Arabidopsis thaliana: one gene and its partner. The protein of the gene in region 1 interacts with the protein of each later gene in a pairwise test. Each region holds a gene or a part of one and is shown in the gene's direction. Other genes may lie near its edges.

Region 1 (9,360 bases):
GTTTTGGATTTTGGTACATTGGTTTCGATGAAATCAATCCAGAATGTGGCGAACCGGTTTACCATTGTGGATGAGAACCGGAATCTGAACCGGTTCGTAGAATCTTGTTCGTTCTCTTCTTCTCGTATAAACAATTGATGAAAACTGAAATACATTTTAGAAGCGGATCGGAGTCGTTGATCACGCTGGAGTCTATTCGGGAACCTACGATGAGGATTACGTCGCTTCTGTTGGTTGCAGCGCTGAAGGAATTTGTAGAGAAAATCAATTGCGGAAGAGGAAGGAGAGAAGCAGCAACGATGAGGATGATGATAAACACTATGGGCTTTTAATGTGTAATGTATGCTTTTAGGCCCAAAATAACCCAATAATAGACACTAGGATTTATTTATCAAAGTGTAACATTATGGGCTTTTATGTGTAATGTGTGCCGTAATGTATTTTTTCTTATTTGCGATGAGAGTACATCATATTTGAATGACAAATTGATTTCGATGCGATTTGAGTGTGGTTAGAAAACCAAATTACCAAATTAGTCTAGTTATATTATTTTTTGTATTTTCAATTTACATAATAATATAAAACAGTACTTGAATTTAATTTATAATATAAAACATTACTTGAATATTTGAAAAGCAATACATAAATATCACAGAGAAATTAATTAGTAAAATTAGAATTAATTTTTGTGTTTAAAATGAAAGAAACTAATAATGGTAATTAATTAATATTGTTTAAATTAATAAGAAAGAAAATTAGTCTCATTGAAGGACTTTGCTCAGCCTCTTTGCTTAAACTTATTCTCCTTATGCTTCTTCAATTTTTGGTACGGATTATCAGCTTGCTTATTCCAACAATTTATTCACAATTTCATGCAAATATCTATTGCCGATCGAATACTGAAACTTTGGAATGTTGTCGGTAAAAATTATAACCTCTCTAGACCAGGTTGAAAAAAATGTTGCAAAAAAATGTATAATCTAGGTGAAAACTTTAAAGAAGGCTAAAATTTCTTGCTCCTTTACGTGACAACTCATATACGTAGTTCTGTATTTGAATGTAATGAATGAGGCCACAACATCTATAGTGTTGATTGAAGGTACGGTTTTACATTTTTTGTTGGTTGTGTTGGTGATGATTTGAGGAGAAAAAGGTTATAAAATTTCCCAAAATAGAGCAATGGGGCTATGATAATAGACAGGTCATTATATTTAGGGAATTCGTTTCCCATATTTGAGAGATTGTTACTATTTGGTTAGCTTTCACATCATGAGGTTTTTGTTGACTCTAAGAACAGTGAGTCTTCTTCGTGTACATGTCCACATTGTTTTTAAAAAAATCCTCCTGTTTCAGTCTCTTGTTCATTTATGCGATCATCACTTGTTTTCCTGTTTTAATGTCCAATCCACCATGTTGTATAGTTTTTTCGGTCGGTTCGAAATCATCCTAAACCAAAAGCAGGTTGAATCCAATCAAATGAAACGTACTAAACTCGATTTTAGCGAAAGCTAGTTGAAAACTCTTAACTTTAAGTATAAAAACTTACAAGACACTTTTGTAACCTATGGAATTTGGGAACTCTAAACTAGTCTATGAAGTTTGTAGAATAATTCCATAGTTTTGTTTTTTAAAATCTCCGTATTATATTTTGATGAGGCTTTGTGCCTAGTAAGACCCAAAGCTAGTCTATTAAACTAGCTATTGCCTATGTTGGCTATGTCACTATGTGCTCCGAAATGATCGATGTATAATTGAGCAATGTGCGTGTGTTTAGGTATAGTAAAATGAGGAGCAGAGCATGCACGTACGTGTTGTTGAATTGATGGAACATGGTACGCTATAAAATCAGTTCGTGGTGTCGCATATTTGAAAATGAACCACAGTAGACTCGCAAAACATTTCTCTGTTGATATGAATTGGATCCTATGCATTAATTTCTGAATCTGTTTCCTTTCCCGACATTATATATTGTATATGTTCCACATTTAAAACTGAAAATTCAATTCTAATAATTCTATCCCCTACAGTTATTGAAACAGACGTCACCAAAAAAATCAACACCTTTTTTTAATGGCTTTTTATAAACGAACCCCGAAAACTTGTAAAAATAAAATAAAAAATACTTGTTAACTTAAATAAGTAGATAACATATACTTTTTTTTCTTTTCAAATGATAACAAAATAAAAGTGAAGGTAATTGGGTTGGGTGTAGATATCCTTAATTAACCTGCTAATGGTTAGTGTTACTTTGTTAGTGCGTATCTTTGAAAAAGTAACTATCCATTCTCACATCTACTGTATGACACAAATTTAGTGTAAATTAAGAAAGTATATATTCAAAGTTATTGACCAAGAAAAAAGGACCATAGGAAATGTTGAGTTAATCTCTGCAGATGGACCGTACAAGTCTGCAGCAAATACTCTGAATCTGAGATAATGTATTCCTCTGCCAATTGATATCTTTTTGGTCAAATAAATACATCTACGTTATGCTTAAAGTCTCACCAAACCTAGGTATTTCCTTTGTATATATGGGATAATATATGTTTCGTATATGCATTTATAGCTGCACAATTAATTAATAATAAAAAAAGAAATACTTTACATTCTTTTTTAAAATTGCATTATGGTGTTATGAATATTCATATTGCGACAGAAATTCTAACGATAATAACTTAATAAGTCTAGCCGATCCCTTAAAAAAATGATTTATAACAGCGAATTCTGCGACATATGGTTGGATAGTTAATTTTAAAATCAGTAAATGGTAGAATTGATATGGCAACAAGTAGTCAAGACTATATGAAAAACGGACTCGTTTGGGAAGATCATTAACATTCACATTATGAAGAGACCGGCTATGTACGTAGAAAGAGGGTTTCATATAAACCATCAAAATGTCGAGAGTGAGAGATAAATGGGGATTGGTGAAAAGACATGTGAAGTGTGCGTGAGAGATATAATTGTGGTTAGAAAATAAAAGACGCAAGAGTCAAATCAAATGTATGCTTTGAGCCTTTTTGGCTGTTATAGTTGGGACTACTTCAGATGTTTAGTTTCATCCTCATTACTATTTCCAATTTTCGGTAGCAACCAACAACAACAACAAAATCATTAATTATTTTTTTAAAAAAAAAAGATTCTGTAAATTGTAGGTTTCTTTGTAAAGGAAAAACAAATAAACAACCAATTTGTGATGGTTTAGTGGTTAATTCAAATTGGTTGTGAGATAGAATTCAAAACTTTGATAATGCATGAGCAGTGACCACTATGAATGTATTAAATGACAAGAATACCTAACGCTTAATTCATATGTATCAAGCGGAAAATAGTTAAAACTTGGGGTGAAATCGCCTTGTTACTTGAACAAAAAAGAAAAAGAAGAAGATCATATTCATAGTTCGAAATTCAAACAAGATAATACCAAGATTTTGTTTGGCAAGCAATCGTAGAATAATATGATGTTTTGTTTGGGGCAACAAAGAACAAAAGCAGTTGAACTAAAAAAAAAGATGTTTACGGATGTTTAACAACTTTTCATCTCTCTCCACTTTTCCAAACACATCTCCACTGCTCACAACGTAGGAAACGTGTTCCCTGTCCTTTACTCTTTCTCTGTCCTAGCATTTTTATTTATTTCTTTCATCTCTATACGTTTCCACATTCCTAGTTTTTTCAAAATTAAGTAGTGACAATTATTGTGAAAATGTTATTGGATTTTATTGTAAATGTAGATTATAGCTATTTGGTTATAACTTAAACCAGAGATAATAATACTATTTATACAATAATCCTAAATTAAAATATCTAGAATGTAAATTAAACTGAGTGTTGAAAACAATTTACAATGCATAAATACAAATGTATAGAAATATATATCAGCTTTCAAATCAGTCCGTGACAGTCCATGAACCTTTTAACAGTTGTATAACAGCATTTTGTCAGAAAACAAGGTCACAACATATACATACACGCACATAGCTTAGAGCCATACGTAATAATATCACACAAATATCAATTATGATGTTCAAAGTCATATTTAATATTTGCTCTTCTCCTCCAATGAGGATGGAGATGGTGCATGCTGACGTGGCGTCTCTCTCCATAACACCTTGCTTCCCGTCTTCTTTGTCTTCGTCCTCACATCATCACTATAACCAACAACAACATTGTATCATGTCGGAAGATCAACACCATTCGATGGATCAGACCACTTCATCGGACTACTTCTCTTTAAATATCGACAATGCTCAACATCTCCGTAGCTACTACACAAGTCATAGAGAAGAAGACATGAACCCTAATCTAAGTGATTACAGTAATTGCAACAAGAAAGACACAACAGTCTATAGAAGCTGTGGACACTCGTCAAAAGCTTCGGTGTCTAGAGGACATTGGAGACCAGCTGAAGATACTAAGCTCAAAGAACTAGTCGCCGTCTACGGTCCACAAAACTGGAACCTCATAGCTGAGAAGCTCCAAGGAAGATCCGGTACGTTAATTCTGTCACTTGATTAAGCTTTTACAAGATTCACGTTCTTGAGATTTTGGGTGTTAATGTTGAGCAGGGAAAAGCTGTAGGCTTCGATGGTTTAACCAACTAGACCCAAGGATAAATAGAAGAGCCTTCACTGAGGAAGAAGAAGAGAGGCTAATGCAAGCTCATAGGCTTTATGGTAACAAATGGGCGATGATAGCGAGGCTTTTCCCTGGTAGGACTGATAATTCTGTGAAGAACCATTGGCATGTTATAATGGCTCGCAAGTTTAGGGAACAATCTTCTTCTTACCGTAGGAGGAAGACGATGGTTTCTCTTAAGCCACTCATTAACCCTAATCCTCACATTTTCAATGATTTTGACCCTACCCGGTTAGCTTTGACCCACCTTGCTAGTAGTGACCATAAGCAGCTTATGTTACCAGTTCCTTGCTTCCCAGGTTTGAGTTTTTGTGTTCTCTTTTCTTTCAGTTTTTAATTCCATATCATTTCTTAATTTTCTTCCATTTTTTGTACTATTTAGGTTATGATCATGAAAATGAGAGTCCATTAATGGTGGATATGTTCGAAACCCAAATGATGGTTGGCGATTACATTGCATGGACACAAGAGGCAACTACATTCGATTTCTTAAACCAAACCGGGAAGAGTGAGATATTTGAAAGAATCAATGAGGAGAAGAAACCACCATTTTTCGATTTTCTTGGGTTGGGGACGGTGTGATCATCATCGATCATGAACAAGACTGGCTTGAGTTAGTTAACAAAAGTTATGAGATGATTTGAGTCCTTGTCGATGTAGTTATGTTGCGTTAATAATTGTAGATTAAATGTTGTTGTCCTTAGTCACATGCAACATTCCTTACCCCGTGTTAATTAGCACGTACATATATACCACTCGTTGGTTAAAATCAATGCTTTCATTTATGTAGATGCCAAATTGTCTCACCTTTACCAAAATTGATTTGAAGTGTAAAACATTTGTACCACTTTATAGTTCTAACTAACTCTTATCTTATATGAAAATGTCAGATTCCGTCATTAATGTCCAAAAATTGTATGGAGTGAGAGTAACAACATGCTTCGTATATGAAGAGGAAGGTGACATATGTTAAAACAGGGACGATGATGTGGATATAAGAAACGACAAAGAACGATAGAGAAGTCAAATTAAAAGGAATAATGTACTACATTGTATTTATTTGGAGTATGCAGAAGTTTAATAACAACATGCGATATTGATGAGGTTGCAAGATTCAGGCACAGATTCTGCAACAGAAAGTCCAAACATCCACTCTTTAATATTCTCACACCCATTGCATTTTTTTATTCTCTCCAAAGCAAAAACATATTTTCATTTCATTGCCCCTTACTTATGCGTCTCATCGACCTCATGTCACCCACATGGCCCCTTCTCCTAGTTATTGTTCATTGTAATAATCATTTGATTTGTATCATGATACTATTTGTATACGTCATTGTAGTTTTAGTCCAGCTTAACACATTTCTATGACTAAATCGAAATAATTGATTGATTTATGAAATTAAGATTAAATTTATGTAATACCGTTTTTCACTAAACACTTCCCGTTGTTAATTGTTTTTTTTTAAGGTTCCATAAGATCCACAAGAAAAGGATAAAACGGTAAGGAGTGTGCAATGTGCACCACTTAAAATCTATTGCTATTCCAGGCTTAGGCCCATTCTCGGACCCAATTTCAGTTTTGTTTGGAAGTGTTTCAACTTTTTCTTTTTTTATGTTAACCGATGTGATTCAATTTCTCGAGCGAGAGAGTACCAATATAGAATGAATATCTCAATTTTGTTTCTAATTTATTAGATGTTCTTAAAACGATAAGTGAAAAGCAATAACGTATATATTGGTTGATTAAAATTTAAATCAAAACGTCGAAAACAGATAAGTGTTGAAGTAAATATCAAACCAAAACCTCTATCAAAGGAACATTCATGTTAATGTAGTTCCTTATGTAATCCAATAATTAAATATTCATGACTTTTTCTTTTTCTTTTATTATTCAAAAAGAAAACAATTTTTTCTGTTTGTTTCCTTAAAAAAGCTGAACTACTTTACGAGAACATATACGTATGGTCCAGGTGAAAGCTGAGTGGCCTCCTACAAAGTCTACCTAACTTTATTCCTTTCTTTCACATTTAAGAAATCTATTTCATAACTTTAGTCTTTAGTCGTATGATAATAATGATTCCAGTTAATAAATCATTTGCAATTTTTATGATGACTAGACCTTGGTAACGAATTTTCCAAAACCCTTCTATATGTTTGAGCTACCGATGTTGCGTATGGTTTTAAGTATTTGCTCTCCAAGTACATTTCTATTCTTTATTCTTTCTCTCCACTCGAGCACCTCAAACTTTTGTGTTCCTTCGGTATCCATTGTTAAAAATGAGAACTCACCAACAACTTAGAACAGTCTTCCGGTTTGGGAAAAGAACATGCGTAGCCTCCCTGCTTATTCTTTAAACGTAACTGGATTTTAAGCTTTTTGTGCAGCTAAAAGAACCAGTCTTTATGGACCTTTAATTTTCACATATTTGTAGAGCTCAAAAACAAATAAAACATTTATTTACTTTTTGTGGAAGAATAGTATATGAGATCAACTATATAACATGAACTTGGGTTGCCTCTCAAAATGTGATATGCTATAATTCTATTAAATTATTAGACAATCGAAAGATTTAAATGCTGACAGTTTAACAAGTAATATTTTTGTTGTTTTAAAGTTTTGTAATCTGCATTTAAGTCTCATTTGAAAGGACATTATATTTACGTTTCATGATCATGGAAGACTCGAAAGTATTAACAAAGATTGGTGTCAAATCTCAAATGATTATGATCCAAATCTTGGAATTACATGGTTATAAAAATAGGTATAGAGCAACAAGCTAAGTATCCATACTAATAAGTAGAAACATTACAACATATCAAGTAATAATCAAAATGAGTAGTATAAAAGATTAGTGAAGGTGCAAAAAGAATGGAAAAAGACATTGGAAAAAAAAGAATAATTGCTTTTTAGAAAAAGTGACTTTTATGCTCTTCTTTTAGCTTTTTTTCAGTGCCAGTGGTTGGATTCTTCTCTTTAATCCAAATATGAAAGTGAAAGATGCTCTGCTTTCTTTGGTTTCATATTCCTCTTTTCTTATCTCTTATCTTAGATTAGTTTGACCCATTTACACTAAGTACCAAAATCGTACAAGCTAATAGTCTGGTACCTCATGCTCATCTGACATGTATTTACCAGAGAGGACAATTTGGAGTTGAGATAATATTTATCTCATGATTCATGGGCAAAAACGTAATTGTAAGTTCAAGATAGATCACGTAGATATTAATCTAAAGGTTTATATATGTTGCAACTTCATCACACAATGGAGAGAAATATCTACAGCTCCAAAAATATCTCTGTTTGTGTACAACAGTAAATACTATATCTACTCTTAGTTCCAAACAACAAAACTATCTACACAGCTTTGCCTTCTTCCACAAGGTAACAATTAGCCAAACTCAAATCTCTCAGTTCATGAATATATATCTATATTAGTGTCTGATTATTGTTGCATGCTCTCCCTGAAGTTCATAGCTCTAGACATCGCTGCAGGGTTTGCTTGTAGACTGTGAGAAGTTTCGGAGACCAAGCTACTTCTGTTGCTGTTTCCCTTTGTGTCAAATCCATTGAACAAACTGAATCCTTGCGTTTTTTTCTCGGGTTTTGTCGGTAACTTAGACCACACAGCGCTCTTACTAGCTTCGATATTCATTCTAAGAGATTCTGAGACCAATCTTGCTCTTGTAGTAGTTATTGTTGTATTAGTATCATTGATTCTTCCTTCAGTTTGATCTCTTGACCGTTTTCCTAAACATGATGAAGTCTCTGAGGTAGGGTATATCGGAACCGTGCATCCCCAGTAGAAGGGGACAGGGTAGAAACTAGCGTTAGGACCCGTTGGACTCCATTGGTAAGGCCAAGGAGAAGAATTATTAGGTAACATTACTTGCGGAGGAAGAAACCCTTGGTAGCTTTTATTTTCTTGAGAAACTGAATCAGCACTTATCTTTGCTGTATCACCTGACTGATGCTTACCAGTCTCTGTAACCGAAGACTCCGAAGAACCGAAACTAAGGATCGTCCCCGAGTTATTATTATCACAATCCTCAGAAGTGACTTGCAAGTAATGGTTTGAAGAAGGCCATCCTTTGTTCTTGCGACGACCTGAGCCAACAGGAACGTTCCTCATAGATCCACCAGCTGTCCAATACCTCTGACAGTTCCTGCAGAAGTAACGTGGCTGGTTCACGTTGTAGTTGTTGTAATAACAGAATTTGGTGTTTGCGCTTTCACATCTAGGACATGGAATAAGCTTGTCCGGTTTCTTGAGAGCCGTTGATTTCTCTCCTGATGTAGTACTTGTGGTAGTTGTTGTTGTGATCTCGCTCTGTTGATCACAGTTGTTCTTGGAACTTCTTGGTGATGAAATCTCAGATACTGCTTTTGGTGGTTCGTTTAGATCGGATAATATATATGGATCTTTGAATTTGTTACTCTCTTGCTCACTTTTTTTAACCGGAACCTGAATTTTTTGTAGAATTTTGATTAGAATTAGCAAAGAGATATAAACAGTCAAGCAAACATTAATTTTTTTAGCCTTTATAACTCATAACAGAGAGAGAAAGTCTCAAATTTTAGGGTTAAAAATTCAGATCGAGATCGACCCATTTGTAGATTCCCTCAGCCAAGAAACTTTTATATATTCATCTCAAAATCATAAAGTTCGTTTATAGATTAATTAACACATAACAAAAAAAAGAGGTTAAGATTCTCATGAC
Region 2 (9,447 bases), on another chromosome or scaffold:
TGCATGAAAAAATATATAATCTTTTTTACGATATGTTTTGTGATAGTTAGTATGTAATACTTGTTTTGTTTTCCATGCCTAATTCGGCCAAACAAAGATTAACTAAGTCAAACAAGCTGCTAATATGGTAAAACGGTCCATTAGAACATCGGCCCATTAAGACAACGGCTCGACCCAAATAAAGATGGTTCAACTCAACATAACAGTGGCTTAGTCTAGTAATATTTTAGCTCGGTCCATTTTAGTTTGGCCCAACCTGATAGATTCGAAAAGATAAAAAGGAGAAATCGCAAGAGAGACAAAGAGAAGCGTATATCAGCTCTTTGCCTATAATTAGCAGAAGACACTATACAGAAAAGGATTCGGACCACAAGTCATTACTTAGGTCAGCTCGTCGCATAAATTTATTTTGGACGAAATATCTTTGATTTTTTTTTTTTGTCAATTTGGATAGTACCATCACAAACATCATCCTTTACATATATAGTGAATAACTAATCATTCAAATGTTTTACTAGTCAATCCATTGTTCATTTTTTTTTTCTTTTGTAGTGATATTCAGATTTTATTCAATTGCACATAATAAATTTTAGTATCCATTAGAAAAAATGGCCTCACAGAAAAAAGTTTATCAGTTAAAGTAGTATCTAGATTTATGTTTATAAGGTTTTACTATCTATTTTAGGTACTTTCTTTACTTTTCTTAGCTTAAATTATAATTCATGTTTCAGAGATTAATCAGTCCATTCTTGTACACATGATCAGTTGCAAATACCATTAAAAAGAAGTCGGGGATGTACTGTGGGAATATAAGTACTATACTATAAGCAGATTCGATCCCAACTAGTGCAAAGCATTTCAATCTTCATTACAAAAGAAAAAAGTAGCAAACAAAAAAGCATTATCTAAATTTAATTATCCAATCGTCATTAGAATCATTGAAAAGGATATAATTGATTTTAATATCTAAGTGGTAACCACATCAATAATTATAAACTTTATTATAGAAAAAAAAACGTAGCGAATCATCGTCACTCTCAGTCGTTTTGTGGCATATACAATAATAAGCCAAAACACAATGAATCTGGACAATTTGCGAGGCATTATTCACTAGTTTACAAGACTTGCCGCTCACTGATAAACATTTTGGACCACAAAGCAATAAGGCAAATAGTGTTTTCGGGGAATACAAAAATATACAATAATTCTACGGACTTGAGACTTAGCTATAAGTCAATATTGAATATTTTATAGAAATCCGAGACTAGTGGAGACATCGCATGAATTAAGACGGTTTATCAGCATTATTCAAGATTGATTTGGTTTGCATCTAACTAACATGATTAAAAATAAGAACCATTGATTAATTCATTCCTTAGAGTATGGGTTCATGCTTGCATATAAATCACTCGTTCGATTTATTTCGTATTACATCTATTTATTCTGTTTAGGTGCAAAGCCGGTCTTAATAGAATATTGTCTTGAGAACATACATATATAAACTGTCATTGTTTCTATCTCCATAAATTTTGAAATCGATCCTAACTAGTTGAATAATCCCTCTATACCAAGAAGGCAAGAACCGACATTTGAATTAATTTAACCAATTATCTTCCACAATTACTTTCTTTTTGTTGTCCATTGTTCTTCATTTACTTTTGGGTTGAATTTATGAACTCAACAAGTCAACAACATTTTATGAATCATATCAATTTTGGGTACACAATCGTGAAGATAATAACGGAGAAAGCTTGCTAAAGACTTAAAAGTGGTGTTTGTGAAGCAGTCTATATGGCCCACTATTAAACATATGTGATATCATGCATGAGTTTTGGTTACTCATTCAAAAGTATGCTGAACAATTCTTTTTTTGTTTTCAAAAATTACGGGTATGTTAGATTATTTTGAGTTAACTAAAAAGCATAGAAGATTAAAAAAATGTTACATTTTTTATATAAAATATTACAACTACATCTAGTGCCGGCTTAGCACATGTGCTTAAGGTGCTAGGACATATGGTCTAGGGTCCAAAAAAAAAAAAACATGATATGATTACATAATAGCACTGGATCTACAAAATGTTTGAGCCGGTCCTGACTACATCACATAATTTCATGCTAATGTTTTTGTGTGTTCTTACGCCTAACGTCTTCTCTACACAAAACAAAAACATGATCATGATTTAGATTTGGCTGAAAACAGAGTTCTTGATTTGAATTTGACTGGAAAAATGTTTCTTGATTTGGTTGAAACATGTTTTCTTATTCGCCTTACTCTCGGATACCTCGTAGCTGAGAAGATATGGACATTGTTCTTTATAGAAATAATGTAAAGCACGACTTCCATACCTTCTTGCAAGGATCTTTGATAAGTTCCTATCCTCATTAACATGTGTTGCACCTTGTTTTTCGATCCTCTAAGCTTCCAAGTATATGACTACAACAACGAGATTGAATATCTAATGATACAAATGGTATCTTAACTATATACTTTCTTTTCAATTCTTCTGGTAATGTGTATTTAACAATTAATTTTGCTAATCTTGGATGTAGCTTTGCACATGGATTGCTACAGATTAGAGCTGTCACAGCGGGCTGTCCATGTCCATTAGCCCAGTCCAATAATGTCCATTTCGATATTGGACAAATAGTGTTCATGTCCACTAAGGCACATGTCCATTAACGCCCGTGCCCATTAATGTCCATGTCCAAATGGGTTGTCCAATAGGCATAACAAAACCAAATTTTAACACAATAGTATTTGCTTCAGCAAGATGCTTGAATGTTTCTTTGTAAATAATCGCTCTAGAGAGCATTAGATGTGTAGAATTCCATTTTGTGCTTACTACCAATTCTTTTTTCTGTTTAAGTAACTCATATTAGTGAGCTAAGCTTTTGATATTTGCAGTTTCATGAATACACGGTGTCAAAGGACCAAGCTTCATAGTTCATACTATGCATAATGCAGACAATGAACACTATATCAAACAATAGTAACAGAAATCGAAAGAGACCCATGTCAAAATCACTCTCAATAAGCAAAAAACAGTAACAAAAAATCATTTCGAATTGAGTAATCAAAAACCCAGATCGAATTGAGTAAAAATGACGAGAATTTGCTTACTTGAACTGGATTAGGAATCTCAGGAGGATCCATGATGTGATGGAGTTGAGATGTTGAAGGAACTCGCCGGAGAAATCGCCGGAAAGAAGAAATCGCCAAATAAGCGTCGGGGAAATGTTTTTTCCCCAAATTTATTTTTGCCCGAACACTTAAACCTAATATTTTTTGACCATTGGGCCGCCCATGTCCATCACGTCCAGTCCGCTGATGCCCATGTCCGTTAACGCCCATGTCCATTAATGCCTGCTTCATAATGGGCTTGTCCATGCCCGGTCCATTAGGCGTTGGACACGGGCCACTCGTCCATTTTGATAACTCTACTACAGATCAATCGTTCAAAGAAATAATAAAATCTCAGTAGACCTATGTTTGGAAGAAACAAGAAAATTTCATAGATCCGTATAATGGATCCATGATTCAAGATTAGCATAATTAAATTCGAAAGTAAATTGACCTTATAACTAAAGTAAAGTGAATTAGGTGGTTACAGTTTTTTCCAATGACATTGTAACATAATATCTTACAAAAGCCAATATTACTATTTGAAAGGTACTTCCGTACTAGTAATGTAGGGATTTGAGACGTGATTATTTATCCTTAATATTCTAATTAGATTGAAGGTTTATATATTAAGTTTTCCATAGTTAAAAGTCAATCTTGAAACAAAAAGATAGTTTGAGGGTTCTCTTGTAAATTTCCTAAAAGTAAAACATTAATACCCTAAAAATCGAAAAATCAGAAAAAGCTTCGGAGCAAGAAAAATCAGAGAAAATTCAAAAACCCTTCACTTGCCTCACTGTTCTTCGTCATGGCGAACAATCCTTCACAGCTTCTTCCTTCAGGTATGCAATTTTTTCTTCACATCTCTCACTTTCCACCTTCTTATATGTAAGAAAATCGAACTAGATCTGCGATTTTTTGGTTTTCAATTTTTGAGCGATTTGGTTTGTTTGTGCAGAGCTAATCGATAGGTGTATAGGGTCTAAGATTTGGGTGATAATGAAAGGAGATAAGGAGCTCGTTGGTATTCTCAAAGGATTCGATGTTTATGTCAACATGGTTCTTGAAGATGTCACCGAATAGTAAGTCTGATTTTAGGGTTTCGATTATTGCTTCATATCTTGTTTAATTGGAATGTTGCTTGATCTATTACACTTTAGGAGGTGAATCATAGACATTGAACCATGGATGTGATTATGCAGAACTTAGCCTTTTGGATTTTGTTTTTGGGTAATTGATCTCAATACTGATTTGTGAATGTCCATCACAGTTCATTCATTTGCTGATTAATGACATTTATTGTGTATGCATAGAGTCTATTTCAGCGGGGTCATATGTGGTTTCGGTGACTTGAGTTGTTTGTGGTTGTGTGAGGATTAGTTAATTGATGCTTAAACCCGTGTTGCTTTGGAGTTAGGATCTCATAGATTCAAGTTTTGATTGTAACAAATTCTTGATTGAATTGTAACTAGAGTGTGTTACTAATTTATCTAAGCATCGTTGTGTAGTGAGATTACGGCAGAAGGAAGACGGGTCACAAAGCTTGATCAGATTCTACTCAATGGCAACAACATCGCCATTGTAAGTAAAAAAACACTTGTGGTTACTCATAGCCATACGTTGTATAAACTTCCTTGTGATGAATTTTCAAGTATCTTGATATAAACAGTTGGTCATTTGAATAGTCAAATTGCTAAGAAACTGGTGTTGAAAATGTTTGTGATGCAGCTGGTGCCAGGTGGGTCTCCCGAAGATGGAGAATGAGATTTGCGAGATTTGATTGGTGTTTTCAGACTTGTGTGAGGAAGGATGTAACTTTTGGTTTTAGATTTAACACTTTGTTCAGAGAAAAGTAGTTGATTTTAAACTCAGAATGACAAAAGTTTTCATTGTTCAGCAATGTGAAAGAGCTAAAGCATCATATTTATTAGACTCAATGCATCATTACTTCTACTTATTCAAGCTCTCTTCGATGTTCTAATGACTATCCCCGTTAGCCACACGAGCGTTGGACAAGTTATCAACAGAGTCTCCCCTCTCAAAAACAGCTGCAGCTCCCATTCCAGTGCCTGTGACGTTCGCATTTTACATATACCATTAACATAGGTAATCATTGATCCAATTCAATCTGAAAAAAAATCTTATATATATACCTATGCACATTGAGATTACTCCAAAGCGGCAATCTTTTCCTCTCCGCTTCATCTCGTGCAACAATGTCGCAACACATCGAGCTCCTGAACATATAGAAAAGAACTCTATTAGCCTGTAACAAATGTTGCATTTTATTTAGTTACGACAAGCTTGGTAAGTAGTAACCTGTAGCACCCAGGGGATGGCCAATAGCAATGGCTCCTCCATTAACATTGACCTTTTCCATATCCAGCTCTAACTTCTTGCAAGAGTACACATACTGAGATGCAAATGCCTGTTTAACAATGCAACAATAAAGATTTATATGTATGTATTATTCCGAAACAGGAAAAAAACCAATGTGAAATATTTTGTTACCTCATTGATCTCGAATAGATCAATATCGCTGACGTTGAGCCCTGCGAGCTTAGTTGCAGCGGGAATGGCAACAGCTGGACCAATACCCATTACAGATGGTTCCACACCAGTAACAGCAAAACTCCTGCATTGTTCCGGAATCAGATTTGCTCGGTTTCTTGAACTGGCAAAATGTTGTATATTCATTTTACCTGAATACTCCAAGAATGGGAAGTCCCTTCTTCATAGCCAAACTTCTCTTCATTAGCAGTACTGCTCCAGCACCATCACTGATCTGACTAGCATTGCCTACACAAAACACATATACTTAAATGCTTCAATCTATGATCTCACTTATGCCAGTGATAGTTAAGAGAGTTGTTTCTAACCAGCTGTGGTGGAACCGTTCTGTTTAAAGACAGTCTTCAGCTTTGCCAAATCTGCCATGTTTGAGTTTGGACGTACACCGTCATCAACAGATACGACGATTGCCTTCTCTGCTTTAGTCTCAGGGTCCACAATCTGTCAAGAACAATATCATTTACTGAGAAAGCTCTACCAAAAGGGCTTTAAAGGAAGTTTGGGAGGTTCTTGTTTTACCTTAGTAGCAACAGGAATGATTTCATCCTTGAGTTTACCAGACGCGATTGCAGCTGCAGCGCGTTTGTGAGACTCCACCTGATTATTACTGAATCAGTACTTATATGAACTAGAGAGGAAAAAAGTGAAGAGAATAACTAACTAACCGCAGCCATATCTTGCTCTTCTCTTGTGACACCGAACCTTTCTGCAACGTTTTCAGAAGTAATTCCCATTGGAAGCAAACAATCACGGGCTTTTGGGAAATCCTGTGCCTATTCCCATGTAGAGTTTACAAGATCATCACAAAACTCTTCTTGTTGAGTAAATTTATACACTCATTGTGATAGCTTACTCTTGGATTAGAGCCATGAAAGCCGCCTCCAGGAATATGATCAGTTGACATTGATTCCACTCCAGCACCAATACCTATGCAATTCACAAAGTTGAGAGAATCAATCCCATGGCCTATACAAGCAGCTAGAGACTACAAAAAACTGATGCAGCAGCATCTTACCAATGTCGTAATAACCAGCTCTAATGGAAGCAGCAACATCAGCAACTGCTTGTAGTCCTGATGAGCATTGTCTATTGACAGTTCTAACTGGCACGGAGTCTAGCTCGTAAAAGAGAAGGATGAAGAAACATATCAACAACTTGTGAGATATTAAGTTTATCTTGATTCTTGAATGAGATTTAGTACCAGGAAAACCAGCAAAATAAGCTGCAACTCTACACTCCATTGCTCTCTGAGAACCAGGCGCTATCACGGTACCAACAACGATATCACCAACTTCACTTGGATCCAAAGATGTTCTTTCCACTACAGCCTAATCAGAACAAACCATGAAACATAAGAAATCATTGATACTACTACTCCATGCATGCACAAGGTTTAATTGATGACTTACCTTAAGAACAGAAGCAAGAAGATCATCAGGAAGAGTGTCTTTGAAACCTCCACGTCTCGCTTTGCAAATGGCGGTACGATATGCCCTGAAGAAGAAGAAGAATCAAGAAACAAAGAAAACTAAAGAAAGTGAAAGTGAAGCAAACTCAATGAGTATACTTACGCTACAATCACAATGTCATCTCCAAAAGCAGCCATTGGGGAAACTTCAGAAACACAATTCACAGGCTAAAATTAACAAAAACACAAGTGAGTCACATAATAAAACAGAGTTAAAGATCATCAGCTTCCACAAACAATTTCAATGTCTAATTAAGACTCACGGATTAAGACAACTAAACTTACAGACAGAAGAGAAGGTTCATGTTTAAGAGAAGAATTAGAAGAAGAAACTGGATTGAGATGACGAAGCAATATCTTTTGTCTTTCCATAGCTCTCTCCATGATTCTCTCTGTTGCAAACACTTGTGTTGCAGCTGAATTCTAATGGTGATTGAAAGACAAAAACTTTCCGGGGAAACTGAAATGGGTTTGGTTGATTTTTCTGGAAAGGGGAAGACGTTAAGTACAATGAGCTTCAGGGTCCTCATTTTTATCGTGGGAGAGATTTTTGATCGATCGTTCTCAGTTCTCACAAGTCTGGTCTGATTGGCCTCGTTGCCAAAACCTTGTCTTGTCGTATTTGTATAAGTTAACGTCGTTACGAAAATATCGCATTTTGACATGTTTTACGCCACATACAAACTCACGCCGTTAAAAATGTGACCGGAAATTAATCGTCGGCAACTATAACTAAACCGGGCCACGTGGGAAGAATCTAACTTTTAAGCAATAAATGTTTCTTCTCATTTTGGGTATTAGTGATTTTGATAATTTGAGTAATTTACAAATTTAGAAGAATTTGAGATAATTTATAAAATTTTAGTGAATAATTTGGATATCCAGATAATATACATGATTTGTATTCTTTACCCACAAGAATTCATATCGGATATAGATTTAAGTTGTTTTGTTTAGTAAGAAAGAGTTAAGTATCCTTCAATTATTTTGTAAAATTCTCGTCCAAAAAATAGTTGTTGTGACTAGAATATACCATCTAATAAATCAATTTTGAGAGACTAAAACGGATTTTCTTAGATAAGTAAAGTCTTTAAGACTCGTAAAAGATAAGATGGAGAGAGGTCAAGAAAGTTACCCGACGGATGAATGAGCTAGTAAGAGTTCCAATAGATATCAAAATCTAAAAGTAGACAATATGCAAATGTTGAGATAACCGATTGTTCAAGATTATATATACAAAAATAGTGTTGAGAGTTAGATGAGGAGTGAAAGAAGTGACGTTGCATTTGGCAATTAACTCTTTTGCCATACTCTTTTGATCCTCCACCACTCTTCCTACCAACCTCCTTACTTATCTTTCATTTTTATGCCTACCTAACCTTCCATTCATGTTAGATTTCTTGCAAACCTAATTTCTTTTATTTGTTTATTAAGTATCTAACTTATTACATAAAGTAAGGTTTTGAACTGGTTTTGTTTTTCTATTTTAAAATGTTTAATTATCTATTTAAAAACAATAAATCAAATATTGAATTGATTAAATATGTTACTAGGTTTCTCTTAAATCTATACATATATATATATATGTTTTTCAATGGAGGTTGTCGTCGATTTCGATTCAGATTACTCCGACAAAGAGGAAGAAGAACCAGTTCAACATCTTCAAACAGTTCTTCTTCCCATTCTCTAATAGTCAAAGTGAAACCATTATGAGGCAAAGTATTCCATGCAAACAATACTATTTTTTATTTTTAAAATTACATTACTAATAGTATTGTTTTTAAAATAAAAAATTCAGTAATTAATTAAAACAGTCCTCTACATTACTACTCAACTAAGCAGCCCAAATTAGAAACAGAATTTTAAAAATTAAAGAAAAGAAACATAATAGTCCTATTTTTATTTTCATAATTAAATAATAATCAATTAAATTGGGTCTTTTTGTTGAGTAGTTTAAATAAAATAGTCTATTTATAAATATTGATTATCAAAAAGCATGTCAAGTTGTGTAATAGGAGAAGAGCAAAATCCTACTTTAATATACTCCCTATATTTTTCATGACTATGACTAGCTTTGTCAAACCTAAATGAAATTGTGCTTTGACATGAAGCATAACTAGAAACAATTCAAAAGCCATGAGAATCCTAAAACAAAAACCAACACAAAAATACATACACCGAAAAGAAAGAAAATTTGTATGTAGCTCACGCTATACAATTTATGTAACCCAAACAGATTTACAGTGTAGTTAGTTAATTCACTTGTACTGCATTGTGATGAATTT

Evidence for each region.
Region 2: the proteins of MYB105 (region 1) and SAD1 interact in binary tests that used the Arabidopsis thaliana proteins (3 or more experiments, as listed by UniProt).

What each region holds. Positions count from the first base shown.
Region 1 is NC_003070.9:26,153,687-26,163,046, forward strand, and holds MYB105 (myb domain protein 105), read left to right. Parts: upstream 1-4,015; 5' UTR 4,016-4,020; coding exon 4,021-4,492; intron 4,493-4,568; coding exon 4,569-4,937; intron 4,938-5,020; coding exon 5,021-5,220; 3' UTR 5,221-5,408; downstream 5,409-9,360. Other genes in the region: AT1G69570 (Dof-type zinc finger DNA-binding family protein), read right to left, coding at 8,085-9,104. UniProt on the Arabidopsis thaliana protein: Probable transcription factor that involved in boundary specification, meristem initiation and maintenance, and organ patterning. Functions in both lateral organ separation and axillary meristem formation.
Region 2 is NC_003076.8:19,809,476-19,818,922, forward strand, and holds SAD1 (Small nuclear ribonucleoprotein family protein), read left to right. Parts: upstream 1-3,870; 5' UTR 3,871-3,931; coding exon 3,932-3,965; intron 3,966-4,081; coding exon 4,082-4,205; intron 4,206-4,631; coding exon 4,632-4,704; intron 4,705-4,851; coding exon 4,852-4,887; 3' UTR 4,888-5,079; downstream 5,080-9,447. Other genes in the region: AT5G48860 (uncharacterized protein), read right to left, coding at 2,176-2,436, 3,124-3,390; KAT5 (peroxisomal 3-keto-acyl-CoA thiolase 2), read right to left, coding at 5,101-5,192, 5,277-5,360, 5,443-5,551, 5,635-5,758, 5,826-5,922, 6,003-6,135, 6,214-6,291, 6,360-6,467 and 6 more. UniProt on the Arabidopsis thaliana protein: Component of LSM protein complexes, which are involved in RNA processing. Component of the cytoplasmic LSM1-LSM7 complex which is involved in mRNA degradation by promoting decapping and leading to accurate 5'-3' mRNA decay.